Arabidopsis thaliana: one gene and its partners. The protein of the gene in region 3 interacts with the protein of the main gene of each other region in a biochemical or structural test. Each region holds a gene or a part of one and is shown on either strand. Other genes may lie near its edges.

Evidence for each region. The genes of interacting proteins can lie anywhere in the genome.
Region 1: the proteins of AHP5 (region 3) and RR3 form a complex in vitro, tested with the Arabidopsis thaliana proteins (one study listed by BioGRID).
Region 2: the proteins of AHP5 (region 3) and HK2 form a complex in vitro, tested with the Arabidopsis thaliana proteins (one study listed by BioGRID).

The regions. Positions count from the first base shown.
Region 1 is NC_003071.7:17,219,969-17,225,417, reverse strand, and holds RR3 (response regulator 3), read right to left. Parts: upstream 3,579-5,449; 5' UTR 3,139-3,578; coding exon 3,036-3,138; intron 2,927-3,035; coding exon 2,826-2,926; intron 2,724-2,825; coding exon 2,646-2,723; intron 2,413-2,645; coding exon 2,342-2,412; intron 2,207-2,341; coding exon 1,882-2,206; 3' UTR 1,532-1,881; intron 1,440-1,531; 3' UTR 538-1,439; downstream 1-537. UniProt on the Arabidopsis thaliana protein: Functions as a response regulator involved in His-to-Asp phosphorelay signal transduction system. Phosphorylation of the Asp residue in the receiver domain activates the ability of the protein to promote the transcription of target genes.
Region 2 is NC_003076.8:13,910,769-13,918,783, forward strand, and holds HK2 (histidine kinase 2), read right to left. Parts: upstream 6,038-8,015; 5' UTR 5,570-6,037; coding exon 5,300-5,569; intron 5,203-5,299; coding exon 5,029-5,202; intron 4,924-5,028; coding exon 4,444-4,923; intron 4,364-4,443; coding exon 4,088-4,363; intron 4,004-4,087; coding exon 3,834-4,003; intron 3,729-3,833; coding exon 3,516-3,728; intron 3,423-3,515; coding exon 3,236-3,422; intron 3,165-3,235; coding exon 3,113-3,164; intron 3,035-3,112; coding exon 2,805-3,034; intron 2,711-2,804; coding exon 2,612-2,710; intron 2,526-2,611; coding exon 1,885-2,525; intron 1,799-1,884; coding exon 1,310-1,798; intron 1,225-1,309; coding exon 975-1,224; 3' UTR 515-974; downstream 1-514. Other genes in the region: AT5G35740 (Carbohydrate-binding X8 domain superfamily protein), read right to left, coding at 1-178, 258-327. UniProt on the Arabidopsis thaliana protein: Cytokinins (CK) receptor related to bacterial two-component regulators. Functions as a histidine kinase and transmits the stress signal to a downstream MAPK cascade.
Region 3 is NC_003070.9:846,249-850,163, reverse strand, and holds AHP5 (histidine-containing phosphotransfer factor 5), read right to left. Parts: upstream 2,372-3,915; 5' UTR 2,006-2,371; coding exon 1,937-2,005; intron 1,798-1,936; coding exon 1,667-1,797; intron 1,523-1,666; coding exon 1,451-1,522; intron 1,357-1,450; coding exon 1,285-1,356; intron 1,167-1,284; coding exon 1,094-1,166; coding exon of another isoform or gene 1,037-1,093; exon of another isoform or gene 986-1,036; coding exon 929-985; 3' UTR 543-928; downstream 1-542. Other genes in the region: 2A6 (2-oxoglutarate (2OG) and Fe(II)-dependent oxygenase superfamily protein), read left to right, coding at 3,590-3,915. UniProt on the Arabidopsis thaliana protein: Functions as a two-component phosphorelay mediator between cytokinin sensor histidine kinases and response regulators (B-type ARRs). Plays an important role in propagating cytokinin signal transduction through the multistep His-to-Asp phosphorelay.

The DNA of each region.
Region 1 (5,449 bases), on a different chromosome or scaffold from region 3:
CTGTTCACCAGCCGTGTCTCTTTCTGGCCAGTTAGGACAGCGTTAGGGGACACGTCACTGTTCGACCAATAAAAAGAGAAGATCGCAACCCAAACTTTATCAACCCGACCCAGTGGTTGATTACTTGGTACTATATGTTATGCAAATTTTGATAGTGTGTTTATTTTGTTTTTAAATACCAAAATAAATGTCATTTACGAGCTAGCTGACATTTCCCCAACGAACTAATAATTATTCCCTTATAATTGGACATATTTTGTTTCCTTTCATATTTATAATTAAACTTTTGTATTTTTCCTATCGTTAGTTGATAGTACTTCACAAAACAACAGAAATATTGCATAAAAAGGAGGCATAATGAATATTACTCATGTGATTGGAAATAAATAATTATGTAAAATAATTTGATGCAACAAACATCACAGAAGCTTCCTTTTGTCACATTTTTTTTTCTTTTTAGATAGTTCTTGGAATGTTATCTCTAATCAAAATTAGGGCTAATGATTTTGCTTTCTTTATAGTTAAACGTTAATATTATTGTCCAGTTTTGAAATACTGAAAAAAACGAGAGAGTACACAAAAAAATAAGAAAGAGAAAATAAAAAAGTGATGGTCCAATCGGAGCGGCTTATTGGGTCATAGTGGGCTCGGAAGGCAATGGCCCGTAATCCTTCCACCGTCAAGAGCGGGAGGTGGACGCTGCTCTGTGAAACCAGCCTCACGCGGTCTCCCCCACTCTAGAAGACATGAGACCCGAGCCTTCGCTCGAAGCCCATGCCTCAACTCCCAACTTGGAATGGGCGGGCCAGAATATAGCCCAACCCGAACCCGGCCCAATGAGATCGACCCAACGTCCCATCCCCTTATTGTCTCCACTTGGATCACAAGCCCGCGTTACTGAGTTCGACGTACAATACTCGCTACCTTCCCTATTATATACAACAACAAAACGTTTTGTTTTTCCGATGTGGGACAAATAGCTCTCTTAATACAGTTTTCGTTTCCAAAGGGAACAAATCATAAAAATTTCATCTTCAATCTCAGGAATTATATCTTTGAAGCTTGTTCGTATCAAAAGGCCAAAACTTTCGACCACTTCCAATTTTTGATAAGATTGGATTTAGATCTTTGATGCTGTTACACCCACAAGATGAGAGAATTTTACAATTCGTTTAATGGTTCTTAAGCTAGTAAATGTAGCTGTTAGTTTTGATAAGATTCATTACTAATTCTCGAAAGCTTCAATCTTTGCAATAGTTTTGGATTCTTAAGCTAGTAGCAAGAAACTTCCCAAAAATCTTGTGGGTTTAACAGCATGAAAAATAAAAGAAAAAAACGAAGAAAGCTAATCTAGGGGAGAGAAGTAAATTGACAGAGAATAAAACAACTACTGTGTCCGAGACCATCCTGGTTTTGAGCCATTGTTAGTGTGCTATCACCTGAGTGAAAAGAGAGAACAACCAAGAAACAAGTAAGATAAGAGATGACAAAAGCTATAGTATGAAACCACATTTCTAGTGTTGCTACTTACCACTATCTGAATGGTTTGAAGCTTCTGATTGAATAGGTATTCGATTTAGTGGATCTCCTTGTGTCTGCATTGTCTCTTTTTCCTGATGATAACGATGTTGCTGCGGTATTACTCCTAGCAGTCCGTTGTTGTTTGCTTCATATTCAAGAGTTAGCAGATCTTCTACTGAGAGATTCTGTTGGCATTCTCCATATAGGTCTTGTAGTGGCTTCTCGGGTTGCGTTAGTCCTCCTTGCAGTCCGTTGTTGTTTGCTTCAGATGCAAGAGTTAGCAGATCTTCTACTGAGAGATTCTGTTGGCATTCTCCATATAGGTCTTGTAGTGGCTTCTCGGGTTGCGTTAGTCCTCCTTCAGACCGAGGTTGTGATATCATTGTATTTAGGACGTGATCGATCAGTAGAAACCACTTCTTCCATTGCTTTTCTCTTATTACTACTCAACATTGGTTCAAGTTGTTCGGATTCAATTTCTTGGTGGAGAGGCAAGATTTCAATCACTGATGACTCTTCTTCTTCTTCTTCTATCTCCGGTTTAGACACCACAATCTCTTCTATGGCAACTGGTTTCTCACTTTCTTTCTTCAACTTCGTTTTCATCATATGAGGTTTCAACTTGGTAAGATCAGCTAACTTCACTGGTTTCAAGAAAAACTCTTCAGCTCCTTCTTCCAAACATCTGTTGGAAGAAACCACCACAATTTTGTAGATAGTTCAAAGACTTATTCAAACCAAAGAATCGAATAATAGTATCCACTTGCCAATTCTCAAATCAATAATACTCAAATTAACTTTAAAGAAACAGAGCTCTTACCTGGAGATTCTTGCAGGAACGTTCTCAGATGACATTATAACTACAGGTATACTTCTAAACGCCGCTGATTCCTATACACAACAATCATGTAGATTACTCAGAAGCAAATCAATTGTTCTTTTTTATCAAACAATGGCATAAAGGAAAGTTTTTGAGTGGGAAAATATTCCAAAATGAGATTTTCAATTTCTCCATTGACATTCTCATTTGGAAAAGAAAACTAAAGTAAAAAACTTTATTTCTTTTTCTGGAAACGAATTTAGCCAGAGATGGAAAAGACAGTAACCAAATTGAGAAGAAATACCTTAACTTTCTTGAGCAAATCATAACCAGTCATGCCAGGCATACAGTAATCTGTAATTATTAGATTTATTTCAACTTCCTGCTCAAAAGCCACAAATTACAAACAAATCTCAATATAACCATTCATTGCAAATTTCGAAAGTAACCAACTTTGAATCATGTAAAAGATCAAAAACTGAACCTGATGAATTTGTGGCGATGTAGAGAGTGCATTTGGGTCGTTGTCATCTACTCTTAAACCCAGAAATTCCAGAGCTTTAGAGCCTGAATCAACTGTAGTTACTGCAAAACATAAGAACAAGAACCAAATAAAGAAACCTTTTTTTCAGTATATCTTCCTTCTCTTTCTCCAATACATATAGCTTAAAGATTATGGCTTTTTCGAATCTACCTTGACATGAAGACTTTTGAAGCAATCTCTCAATCATTTTCCGATCAAAAAGACTATCATCAACAGCTAAAACATGGAACTTTGACTCTGTTTCCATTACCATTGTAGATATTCAATCGAAAAAAACTAAGATCTGAATCTAAAATAGACAAACCCAGATGCAAAGTTTTCAACTTTGTGTTTTGTTTTGATATCCTTCTTTAGAAAGAGATTAAAAAAAAAACGGTTTTTTTTTCTCTACCGGAAATGTTGAGAGTTCTGAATGAGCTTGTAGGAGAGAAGAGGAGAAATAAAAGGGGGTTTGTATTTTTCAACCCAAATCTCGGATAGTGAGAGAGAGACGAATAAAAAGGAAATAAGACTAATTGGATCTAGCTTTGGTTTACGGAGTAAGCAAGTTTTTTAAATGATGAAAGTAATTTCCAAGGAGACAACGAGAGAAAGAAATTTAAAAAAAAAAAAGACTTTGATAATGGATAAAATAAATAATGGAAAGAAATCTATATGAAGATTTTAAAGGATTTGTTTAGCCCACCAAAGACTTTTTTTTTTTTTAAGATAAGAGGATGAGGGATTTAATAATGTGTATACTACCACAACCACATGCATTGCTATTGGTGGGTTTTAACAGCCATTTGAAAATATATATATATAGAAAAAACCGTTCATTGTCAAAAAGAATTGTAGTTTAACGTTTAAAAAAACAAAAAAACTTATACATTAGTTAGCAAGATGTTCGAAAACAAGATGTTTTAAAAGAGATTAAATAATAACGAGTTTTTGTGATGACAGTATTTTTTATTTTCGATTTTAATATATGTTTATTGAGCTGCTGGGATGTCACCGATCAAATAATCGTTGAACCTAATTAAGAATTTGCTTATAATTTTGAATGTTAAGAGTGGTTTAAATCCCAAAAAAAAAAAAAAGGAATAGAATTTTGAATGTTTTTACGGTGGATCGTTGATGTATTTACAATATTCAATTTGTTTTTATTTATACTCTGCACAAACATTCGAAATAATTTGTAATGGTCCTGATTGAAAGAGTGACTAGTGGAAAAGATTTTCGTCGGACCACAACATCGTCCCTATTTCTATTTAGCAGTTTATGTTGTGGGGTTTGTGTATTCATATGCGAGTCGATGTGACGTGTTTTGCTGCGTATCATTTACTTATTGGATATAATTTTTATGTTTTCTTTTTCTCACTTTTAGTACAAATGTGGTTGGTCTCTGGTGTAATACTCAATCAGTAAATTAGATTGATAAATCTTTTTTTTTGTGAAGTTAAATTGGTAAATCTTAATTATGATGATTGGTAACATAAAAATTATATGACCAGTCAAAGTTTTTAGTGGTTGGAGATAAATAAGAAGAGATGAATGTATTATTTAGAGAGGAAAATAGTAGTATAACGGTAATTTAGTTGTAAGTTCCCATGCTACAAGTATCTCTTGTTAATGGGATTTGTTAAAAATCCACAATATAAAATATATAGTATAAATGATGTTTTATATTCTAAGTATTATAGATACTATTTTTAAATGCTTTTACATCTACGAACAGTATTAAATAAAAAAAATGTAACCTAAATGTGAAATAGTGTTTTGCGCTCATCGTATTATACTTGGCGATCAGATTCGTTGGCAAAAGAATAAGAAAATTTACTAAATAGTTAGGTAGTGTGGTAGTGGCAAAGACATGGCAATGTTCACTTGATTCTCTGCCAAAGATTTGCCTCCCATGGTCATGCCCATCATCACCACTATCATCATCAATCATCATCTTTATATGGACGACACGTATCCAAAGTATGGTAGACACATGAAAAGTCCGTCCAATAACCAATACTCTCTTATGGGTCTAGTGGGTTCCATATTGCTCTCTCACTTTCCACATTTCCTATCTCTTTTCTTTTTCTTTCTATACAGTCAATTTTTGTTGTTTTATTTGTTATCCGCAGCAATATGACAATGTATAAGACCAGGGGCGGACACACGTTGGTCTTGGGTGGGGCATGTGCCCGATACTCAATTATATAAATCTTATATAAGTTTGCATTATGTAATTAAAAATGTATGTAGTGTAGTGGTATTTTACTTAATGGTGCCCCACATTAACCCAAGTTCAAGCCTTGCTATGTCTTTTTATTGATTTTTTATAATTGTGCTCCATATAAAATTATTTCCTGGATCCGCCATTGTATAAGACTATGGCTTTTATTTTTGTTTGTTGACATACCATTGGCTATGATACAAGGATCCTAGTAATCTCAATTTCTTAAACTAATATTGCACGTTTCACCTTTTTACCGCCACAAAATTATGTGTACAAAACTAGCTAGTGTACCACCAAAACATATATGTACCACCATACTGAAAAACTATCGGAAAAAAGAATTGAGTCCAGCAAT
Region 2 (8,015 bases), on a different chromosome or scaffold from region 3:
CTGTTGAAAGCAAAGGAGGCATGATCTCTGATTGTGTTAGGCAAGAAGCAAGGCTGGTTTTCCTGCTGCATTTTGCTGCAGTCTGCTCCACCTTTTCCGCAAGCCCAGTCTAAGGCTGCTTGCAACTCATCGTCTGGCGTTTGTTCATCCGCTATGCACCATTGTTCCGACTCTGCCTCTGCTTAAACATACACTCACATACATCTGCATAAGGCCAAAAAAGGGACATAGTATGAACATTGCAGTGGTGTTTTTACCTGAACGTCGAGGAAGAGTCATTGCTATGATAAGCAAAGGAAGAAGTATCCTTATCAAGAAAGTTGACATGTTTCTAGAGAAGGCAATGAGTGGTGCAGAGAGATCCAGATCTGATCTATCTAGTTAGGAAGTTTGGGAGCTAAGGAAATGAGTGCAACTTGATACCCTTTATACTAGTTAGAAAGAATCATTAGTCCAAAAGTTCAAGATCTATGACTAGGGAATCTTGGTTTGCTTCAGATGCAATCATGTGCCAGATCTGCATTGGTTTTGACTTTTGAGGAAGATTTTGTTCTGCTTCTGGAAGCTTTTCAGAACACACTGTCATTTATACGCTTCCTATCATGTAATCAAGAGCCATTACTATTACTACACAATATACAAGCTGTTTCATAGTTAAGAGGACAGAGTTTGGGTTTATATATATATAAAATGAATATAATGGAGCTATACCCTAGGAATCTACTATACACACAGGCAGAGATCAATGAAGACAAAGTGTCTATACAAAGAGAAAGATCGGTTTTCGCAGTTTTTCTCACTCAACCAGACGAGGTCTTAAGCTGAAAGAGACCTGTGAAGAAAAATTGACAATGAACTGGTTCTTGCCTTGATCTCAAGTTGAATTGCAGGTCATGGATGTTCAAGATATACTACCCGATGTCAAAAAGCTCTCGGGTTGATATATAATCCTACAAGGGAAATGGCTTTTTCTTTTAACAAGGTTCAAAGAATCTTGCTACCGCTGTGTAGAGCACTTCCTCTTCAAACGGTTTTGATACATAACCATCCATTCCACATTTCATGCATTCTTCATGAGTAGCCTGAATAACATCTGCTGTCATTGCTAATATCGGGACGTGCCAACTACTAAATTTACAGAACATTTCAGCTGAAACTTCTCCAGAAGCTATTTTCTTATTGATTTCCCTCTCCAGCTCACGGACTCTCCTTGTCGCTTCAAATCTGCGCAAAAAATTATAAAGTTACCAAGGACGACATCCAAGAAATGAACAAGCTGAAGAGATAAGATTGAAAAATAGTTATCTACCCATCCATTTCAGGCATCTGGAGATCCATGAAGCAAGCATCGAAGTTATGAGGCGGCTTAAGCATTGCCAATGCAGCTTTGCCACTCTCAACGCATGTAACAATAGCTCCATATTTCTTAAGTGCACCTTCTGCAACTCGTCTGTTCACAAGATTATCATCCACAACCAGAATCTGTTTTTCTCTTAGCAAGTGTCCAAGATTTCTTCGCTGTCTGTTCGGTTGCCTCTTCTTGCCATTGACAAGGGTTTCTTGCAAGCAACATATTAAGACACTCATCCGAAGAGGCTTTATCACCACCTCATCGATGAGACCAGTAGACTTCATCTCACTGCGCTCAGTAAGAGTTGCAGAAGTTGCCAAAAGAAAAATCTTTGGGACTCTTGTAAAGGTTACTTTGCTTCGGGTAAACAACTCGTCAAGTACTGAAAATTCTTCCTTGTTCCAGGCGTCTTTGTCTATTAGAATCATAGCCAAATTTTCTAATTTGCTGCAAAGATTCCAGAACAATAAAACGCTTTTAGTGAACTCACTATAATCTCTAAAGACAGACAGACACTAATGTACGTAAAGTACCTGATACAACAAGTGCATGCCATTCTCAGACTTGAAACAATGTCTGCAGATATTCCCAGTCTCCGAAGTTCGTACCTGGTGACCTCTGCTCTAATGTTTCTGTTATCAATAACTAATGCTCTCAATCCTGTAAACTCCTGAATAGCTAGATCGAATCGTTCCAGCTTAGTAATCGACGTATTTGTTTCTGCTTTCCCGAAAACTCCAGTAAATGAAAAAGTACTGCCTATCCCGGGCTCACTCACAAACCCCATCTCTCCTTGCATGAGTTCAACCAAACGTTTGCTTATACTCAAACCTATGCCAGTTCCACCATAAGTCCGCGATGTGGAACTGTCGGCTTGCATAAAAGGTGTGAAGATTCGGCCTTGTGCATCCACAGGTATGCCAACTCCAGTGTCCTCCACTGTAACTAGCAATTTGATTTGATCAGAATTCTGACTCTCAGTACTGTAACATGTCTTGAAATTCTTCCAGCTTCCCCATGCATTTACCGCAGGAAACCCGCTAACTGTCTCACCGGACTCGCTGCATCCTAAAGCTAGTCGCTGTTTTAGCACTGCGTCTTCAATAGTAAGAGGCTCCTTTACCTCATCTGCAAGGTGCACTGAGATAAATATGTGTCCCCTTTCCTGTGTGAACTGTTATTAAGTAAATAACAAATGAGTACTGTAATAGTAGAGATTCGTGAAGCCTGTTGTTCTGTAAGAAGTAAGGAGTAAATTACTTTGATTGAGTTTCCAACCAGGTTTGTAATGATCTGCCGGAACCGACTCGGATCACCGACTACAACATCAGGAACTTGACTAGAAACATAAACGGCCAACTGTAACAAGAAGTCAACATTTCATTACATATGGAATTTGTTTGCCATATGAAAACATTAAGAAAGTAGAAGGTCATGCAGTTTATAATTATACCTCAATTCCTTTTTCATTTGCCTTGCCAGAGAGGAGAGATGAAACATTATCAAGAATAAAACGCATATCAAAAGGCACATTTTCAAGCTCGAGCCTTCCGGATTCAATCTTTGCCTGATCAAGAACCTCATTTATTAGTGATGTAAGATCCTTCCCACTGCCATGAGCAGTTTGCGCATAGTCCATCTGCTTCGCATCAAGATCGGTGTCCATCAGCATTTTCAGCATTCCTGTAACAAAATGCTTAAACGTTTCAGCTGATTTTAAGAGAACATGCAATATTGACCAAGGATAAGTAGAAAAAGTACCTAAAACTCCATTCATCGGAGTCCGTATCTCATGAGAAACAGTTGCTAGGAACTGCAAAATAAGAAGCATTTCAGTGAAAAAACAAGTAAAGCTTTTGAGACTATATGATTCACAAAGATCACCTGTGACTTTGCAATGTCAGCGGCCTCAGCACGAGCTTTGAGTTCCCTCATCTTCTGACAATCCTCTTCAACTGTCGCAATTCGGTTGATGGCTTCATATAAAATATAACCAACAAGAAAAGTAATAACCAGAACTAAGATCGACGGTGTTATCGCTGTCCAGGGAATGGGAAGTTTATGCTTAAACCTGTAAATGAAAAATGCCACTTTCATACTTCAGAAAACAGAGAAGTGAAACATATCTTATAAAAATGTACCATAACAGTTAGAGCTAACTAACCTGCAATGCATCTCATGGTTCCTTGATGGATCACCAAAATCAAGGCTACTTATATGCTGCTCACTTATATCCCCAATTTCTGAGCCATACATTTTTATTAGACCTGAAGTGTTAGTTGTGTCGTAAACATCCACAGCAATTGTCTGTTTGCTGGCAAGTTGGTGAAGAAGTTTCTCCACCAGCGATGGCATATCATATGATGCACCAAGGTACCTGTTTTTAAGTGTATCTTATTAATATTTTCTGGTCCAGAGATCATTCTTTGTTACATAGGTTCAATTTCTTCAGTCCTAGAATCATTTTAAGTAGAAGTAGTACCCAATAGTTGCTTCAACACGCTGTTCTTCTGTAGCATCAGGCGGTAGGCTCGTGTCATAGACAGCAAAGGTCAACACAACACCAAGATGATTTGACTTAAGAAGCTTAAATGGAGATGTTAACACTCCTTTTCCTGATGCCCTTGCCCGTAAGATGTTTTCACGGTCTTCCTGCAAAATAGTTAGACTTTTGAATTCTCTTTTAAGGACATTGGTTTGGCAAAATAGTTCAAGAAACTTTTAGACGTTACTGACTTCTCCAGACATCATGTCGACCGATACAATATGGGAAACAGTTTCTTGAGCAAATATAACTGGCGCGTATTCGTCTTGAATCGGTGCGGGATCAAAGTTTTCAGGAACACAATCTTGTACAACTGTCTGGTCCTCAGTTTCCATTTTCTTTATTGCCCATCCATGCTCCTTTTCAAATTTCTCTCTTTCTGAGTGTGGGACTTTCAAAGCATACGCTACACCACTAGTAAGTGGCCTCTCAAAGTTTGTTCTCTCAGTATATTCTTCAAATGTTCTCTGTAAATGTAACAGAAGTTGATGATTTAAACATAAACTTGAGACACAAAATGTATTTAGCAGTAAGAAAAAAACATCACCTGATCAATGGCAGATGGGATTTTACCATGATGAAATGTAGATACAAGAATAGACAAGGCATGAACATGGTTCAAGCTAACATTGAACTGATCTTGTAAAACACGTGCTCGTTCGTCACACATGTTTGCCAAAGTCTCCCTCCTTTTCATTATGATCTCCTCATTAGTGTCCCAAAACCACCAAACAGAGAAGGAAACTCCTCCTAAAATACCAAGGAGAAGGATATTCTTCCTCCATCTTCCAGCCCCTCTAGAAGAAGTCTGAGCACGTTGTTGCTGCTTCTTTGGAGCTAAAGCCTCTTGCAGATGTACTTTCTCTTTCCTCTCACCTCGTGCTTTAGAATGAGATACATAAATCTTATGGCACACTAACACACCAAGGATTAGACACCACCATGCATTTCTTAAATACGATGACAAACCCTGCTCCAGCCCTTCTTCATGGTTTTCTTCCTCAAGGTTTTCAGGTTGCTGTAAAATCTACTCATAACCAAACACATTCACAATAAACTTTTGTGAGAACTAGCTAAACACCAAATCTTAAAGCATTTCCTTCACATGTTGTCGAATCGAATATTATCTTACCGGTTCAAGATTACCACACATACAAGATGTTGATGAGATAGAATGTCCTAAGCCAAGATTCCAGGGAAGCCCTCTAGTCTCTTGTTTATCAGAACGCACACTCAGGGAACATGTAATACCATAGTTTGTCCACATTCCAGGGCTTGATTCCTTATGACATTCAAAGGATGTTACCTACAACAAATACAGAGAAACTGTTACACTTTAAGGCAAATCTGGTGCGTATTCAAAAGCTCAATTTCAACAAATACAAGTCAATTCATGCAATTACCTGATCTGAATCAGAGAACAAAGAGACCAAATCATGAATCTCACTTCTTGTGACATTTTGATGTCTATACAACACTTTCTCTTCTCCATTACAAGAATCTGTCTCCTCCTTCTGACTTCTACCTAACCGTAAGAACATAACCAAAACAATTACCAAAGAGCCACACAAAATCAGGAAGAAGAGAGGCTTCTTTAGCCATTTCTTGTCACTGCTCGACGACTTCTTAGCTTTCTTTGAAGTAAGATTCAAGAGCTCACAAGTTATAGACATTTCGACTCCTAATCTCAGATTCAGCTGAAGAAATTCAGATCTCTTCAAACCCAAAACTAAAACTCTATCAACAACAATCTCATAGTTGAGTTCTTGAAACCATCCACAAGAAGAACAAGAAGCTGTGACATAGTCCCAAACGCAAAGCTTTTTTCTTTTTTCTTACTTAAGACGCAAGAGGACAAGATGAACCAAACCCAGTGGTTGTTGCAATGGGAGAAAGAAGACATTGTTGAGAGTAAAGAAACGGAAAAGAGAAAAAGGACAAAGCTTTATCTTCTTTCATGGTTTCAGGGTAAAGAAAAATGACAAAGCTTTCTCTGTTTTAGATGTTTGTGAGCTTAAACAAAAGAAACCCAGCTGGTGTCTCTCATTACCCAACTGGACTCAATGATCAGAGTTTGGATAAAAGAAGCATTTGTTAGAGAAATTATGAGCTAAAGAAAAAGAATGTCACTTCTCTCTTCTTTTACTCTACTTTTGATTATTATTATTGTTTTTGTCTTTTGGTGAATAAACATTTTTAAAAACTGAGGTTTTTGGGTCCATGATTATCTCATCATCTAGGTGGGGAAGGTATTATAACATTTTTAGTTAAATTAGAAAAAGTGATTGGCTAATGAAAATATAAATAAACTCAACTATACCAAGAATCAATACATGCTTCTCCTAAAACCTACTCATTGTTATTTGTTTTTTGTTTGGTCTTTTTGGTGTTTTTAAATTGCTTCATTAGCATAGTTTAACATCTACTCTTAAGTCTTATCTTATCTTGTATAAAATATAACGATGAGTGGGTTTTACGAGAAGTGGGTATTGATTTGATTCTATATGTACATCTTATTTCTTTTTATCAGTTTATGTATCTTTGTCTCCCAGTTACATTTATGATTCTGATTATTTTTATGTAAGAAGTTCTGTTTAAAATTGTATTTGACTTTGAAAATATATTAGGACTAGATCATAACCCGTGCTGTATAGCACGGGCATTAATATTTTGTATAAATTACATTGTATACTTTGTTATGTTTGTTATGTTTATCAAAATTATTTGTTATATTTGTCAAAATTTAGTAAAATATATTCAAATATAATTAAATTTATTAAAACTTAATAAATTTAAAAGTTTTTTTTGTTTAGAGACGCACTATCTACATACAAAATACTCGTTTCTATTTTTTTGAGTATTTTTAGGGCCTGAAACTTTTTATCCAAACTGACCCAAACCCAACTGGACCCGACCCGAACCGAATATTTAGAATTATTCTATTAGGTAGTAAATCATATACCCATTAATCCCAAACCCGAACGGGTTCTACCCGAACTCGAATGGGTTACTCATATGCCCAGCCCTATTCTCTGATTTAATTATCTAAAAAATCCCAATAAAACATATGTTTTGTTGAATACCTTTTATTCAAAAAAATTTACATCCTCTTCTGCCAAAATCATTTCATAAGACATCCCAAAACCCTTGGAATAATGATTCTATGAATGAAGAATCCTAATTTGAATATACCAAGAGGTTTTGAAAGGTTTTAAGTTTTTGATAGGTGTGTATGTGAGAAGGTACATCCATCGTGATGGTAATCTGCTTATTTATAATTTTAACTTGCATTATACAGCAGGTAGGCTTATATTTTAGTTAAACTAAAAACTTTTATTGTAAAGTTGATTACAAATATATGATATTATTTTATTTGATTTTAAATGTATAGTAAACTGCTAGTTGTATATGTTTTGTTGATATTATTTATATTGTTTAATGTTTAAAATTATATACTTGTATTTTGATTGTTAATTTTAGAGTTTCACCTGTACTATACCATCTTGTATTAATATTGATTTAAACCCGTCAATTCTAGGATTTTCCAACTTGTATTAAAAATTGAATCACATCATACACATTAAAAAATCTAATATGTTATTAATTATTTTAGTATATAAAATTATAAATTTTAAAATAATATGTATGAAATTGAATATAAATATTCAAATTATAACACAGTACTCAGTAAAATTTTTTTTTAAATCTACTTTTGACCCGTTATAGTATTTTTTCATGTATTGAACAGTTTATATTTGTTTTTTTTAAATTTAAATTGTGGCATATGCGAAAAAAACTCTAATTATTTTTTTATAACGATGATATTATTTTTTTGCAAAAATAAAATCATATAAAGATGAGAGGTGAACTATAATAATTAATAAAAAATTAATATGATAATTTAGATATCAAATCTAATTTGTTGATTTTAATTGGTTACTTTTTTGGAAATTAATAATGTATTTCGTTTTTGAGTTAAATTTAATTAATTAAATTGACTTTTTAATTTTTAAAGAAATGAATTAATTTACTCTTTAAAATTTTATTTCTAATGGCATACATATGTAATTACTTACAAAAAATAAGGTTATATTTAAAATGTACTTCCCAAATAATATA
Region 3 (3,915 bases):
TTGACTTTTGAATCGGTTTCATGAAGAACCCTAAAACCAACCATGTTATAAGGATATTACAAAATTATTTTAAAAACATTGGTTGAGAGAAATAAAAATGATGAAGATGGATATGATAAAATGAAGGATAGAGGAGAAAAGCTTTGTTATTATTTGTTACATTACACGCCTCCATGCCTTCAATTTATGTTTCATTAGTCTCTTTCACTTCACATACTCTTCCTTTAAAAAAAAAAAAATGCTCCACCTAGTGATTACCATAGACACATGGCTTCACATTTTTTATTCCACTTATAAACAATCTATTGATAATTCTTCGACATTTTCTTTTTATTTCATTCCTAGTTTGAGGTAATTCGGACATTATATTAAATACATACCTAACAAGACATGCCCAATCCTTTCTCAATCTATTGTCACAATCATGTCTTATAAGCCCTATAACAATAATGTTGATAAAAGAGACCATGGAATACCGTTAACAAAATAAAGAGACCATGGAATCGTGTTATCCATAATTCAAACAAATCATTCTTGATTAATCCACACATAATGAAATCGTCTAAAGTGCTAACTAGTACCCGCATGCTTTACGGCTCAAATCAAAATCATGAATCCAATAGAGTATATCAGATTCAGAATAATGCTGAGAATTCTAAGTCATGATGGTCAGAACAAAGGCTCCAAATGGTGGTTGCATTGTGACAGGAATACATATGGACATGTCTATTTATAGACTAATAATTCAATTTTTACTCTTAGAACTCAATTAAGAGTCTAAACAAGACACGATATCTGGCCAGGGACAGTGTTGCTGAACCTCATTAATCAATATAAAACATAACAACAACAACAAAACTACAGAGGAGTTTCGGTTTCATTTGTGTCATCAGCCTTGAACATTTGCATAATCGAGAAACGCATCGGTCTAATTTATATCCACTTGAGGAATTGTACCTCCAGCTTGGAGGATCTGTTTCTCTAACTGCAACAACATAACATAACAGAAACAGAAGAATGAGAAGTAGCAAAAGGCTCAGTAAAAAGAATACACAAGCAGAACAAGTAGGTTTTCGCAAAGTTTAAAACTCACATTAAAGAGATCCTGAAGTTTAGTCTTTAACATCTTATATTCATAATCCACCTGCTGTAAACACCTTAGACACCTGTGCCAGATATCATTATCACAATTTGTGTGTGAATTAGAAGAATAGCTTCTCATATAATAAAAAAGTTTAGAGATCCAATAACATTTTGCATCAACAAGCTAAAAAATATACTCACCCTTCACGGTTCTGAACATCGCAACATTCCTTGAAAGATATGCACACATTTTTCACCCTCCTTGCACCGACACTGAGTACAAAGCAGAGACTGAGCCATTAAAATCAATGTAGTTTGGTCACTTAAAACTAGAAAAGCAAATTTAGCAGTGTTCACTGTGACAAACCTGGAGCTACTACCCTTGAGTTGATGAACACCTGAATCCACCTGTTTGAAATCCACATTATCTGGCCGCTCCCTAATGTTTATAATAAACTCATAAAATGCTGTCATGAATATATGAAGCTAATTTACACCCTCAAAAATGAATATGAAGGAGGATTAGAGACAAAGTCCCATGTTAGATAAAAAAGAGAAGCCTAAGAGAGTAAGCAAAGCTTACAGGGATATAGACATGGTATTAATAAGCTTGGAACAGTCGTCGAAGAATAGAGAGACAACTTCAGCTACAAAATCAGGGGTTCCTTCATCTTGCAACTTTCTCAACTCTGAGAACTGATTATCCAGAAATCCCTTCAAAACAACAACATATTATATCATCTTTATAAAAAAAATAAAAAAATTCAAATTCACACATAACTGCACCTTAAGCTTATCTAAGCCCAAAAGTGAGAATCCAGCCAAAGTAAGAAAAGTTTGGTTAGGAACGAACCTGTTGATAAAGAGAAACGATGTAGTCTTGAAATTGTCTCTGCAACTGAGCAACGACGATGGTGTTCATAGCTAAAGTTTACCAAGAACCAGACTTGTAAACAAAGATGGTAAGAGCTTCTCAAACATACATATACCAAAAACAAACAACGGATACGGTGAACTGTATTTCGACGGTTCCGAGATCGATCTAATCGGAGGTTTTTGGCTTAATTTAAAACAGATCCAACAACAACTAGGCGAAAAGACCAAAGAACAAACTTCCAACTTAACTAAGAGATTCCAAATTCAAAATCGGAGCGACACAGAGAGAGATGATGATGAATCTGATCGGAGCGTCGAAAGTTATAATTTATTCCACGTTCCGTTGACTGATTTTGACTTAAATATCAAATGGAGGGTTATTTTTGTAAATGACTATATTGTAGGAATTAATCAAGTACGTAAATAATATTTTAGTTTGTGGGGTGCAAATCTGATTTTATAGATAGGGAAGTTGCTAGCATGCGTTCTCCACAAACGAGATATCTTTTTTTTTTTTTTTTAAAAAAAAAGGTCCAGTCCCAATTGGGCTTAGGCCCGGAATTACAATCGTCCACAGTTACAAAACAGGAAAAATCCGGTCACCGGAAAAAGAGAACCAGAGGTGGATTTGGGCAGTGGAACGGAGGCAGCAAATAGATCTATTAGTACCGTCGTATACAAGGCCCACTACTTTGCAACACAACCACCGGAACGAGATCATTGGCCGAAGTATACGAGTCCTGCCGCAAATCTCTTACCAATGAGCTGGCCGGACCTGCAACAAACCTAACGGAAAAAACCCAGTTTCCGACACTCCGCCACCCAATTTGGTCGAGTCCCCAACCTCGCAAAACGACCACGCATTTCCAAGCCTCTGACCTCCAAAACCTTAGATCTGAAAATTTTCCAAAAGCAAAGCAACCTTCAATCCGGATTGATGGAGACAAAAAACGGAGGCTAAAGAAGGGTGATGGCTCAGACAACCCTTCAGCAACCGGAACCCGCAACAGCCATCTCAGATCCAGTTTGTTAACCATCAAACACGCACTGAAAACCCACCAATCCACAGCGTCTTCCGCCACAGCTACAGCGTCTAACCAAGTGGTTGAACCAAGAAAGACTTCACCGATCTCCACCGACGTCCATAACCAGGAAGAAACGGAAGAGAAGCCTCTCATCCACCGAGAAAGGGCCACCGCTGCCACGCTTACCGGAAAAACCACACCACTCCAATGCCGGAGAAGATAGCTTGCCTTACTCCTGCTTTGTCTTGCAAATTCATAACCTAAGATGAAGAACAGAGGCAGAAAAAACTAGATCTGTAAAAACTGGAAAAAACTTCAAAGAGAGAGAAAATGAACAGTAGCGGAACGATTGTCCAAAGTCCTCCAAACGAGATATCTTTAAATGTTGTTTTGCTAATTAGTGGCGTTTCGAGAGCTAGGCGAGCAACAATGGCGATGAGATTTAATATGGTAAGTGTGTAGTTAATTAACAAAAGTTCAAACCGGATGCTATTCTTACTTGTAAAGACAAACGACCAATTAAGAATCCAAATTTTAATATAGGAATTGAAATAAACTAATGGACCTTGTTTTTGGCGATTCATTTCTTTATTTGTTATCTTAATATGGGTCACGATTCCTTTTGTTATTTAATTGTATTAAGATGTGCATTAAGATGTGGAATAATAGCACTTATGCAAATCTGTGCATTGCAAAAAAAAGAAAGAAGAAGCAAGATGGAGTCAAGTGATCGTTCAAGTCAAGCAAAAGCTTTCGACGAGACAAAAACCGGCGTGAAAGGGCTTGTGGCTTCGGGAATCAAAGAGATTCCAGCCATGTTCCATACACCTCCGGATACTCTAACAAGCCTGAAACAAACAGCACCACCTTCGCAGCAGCTGACGATCCCCACGGTGGATCTGAAAGGAGGAAGCATGGATTTGATATCGCG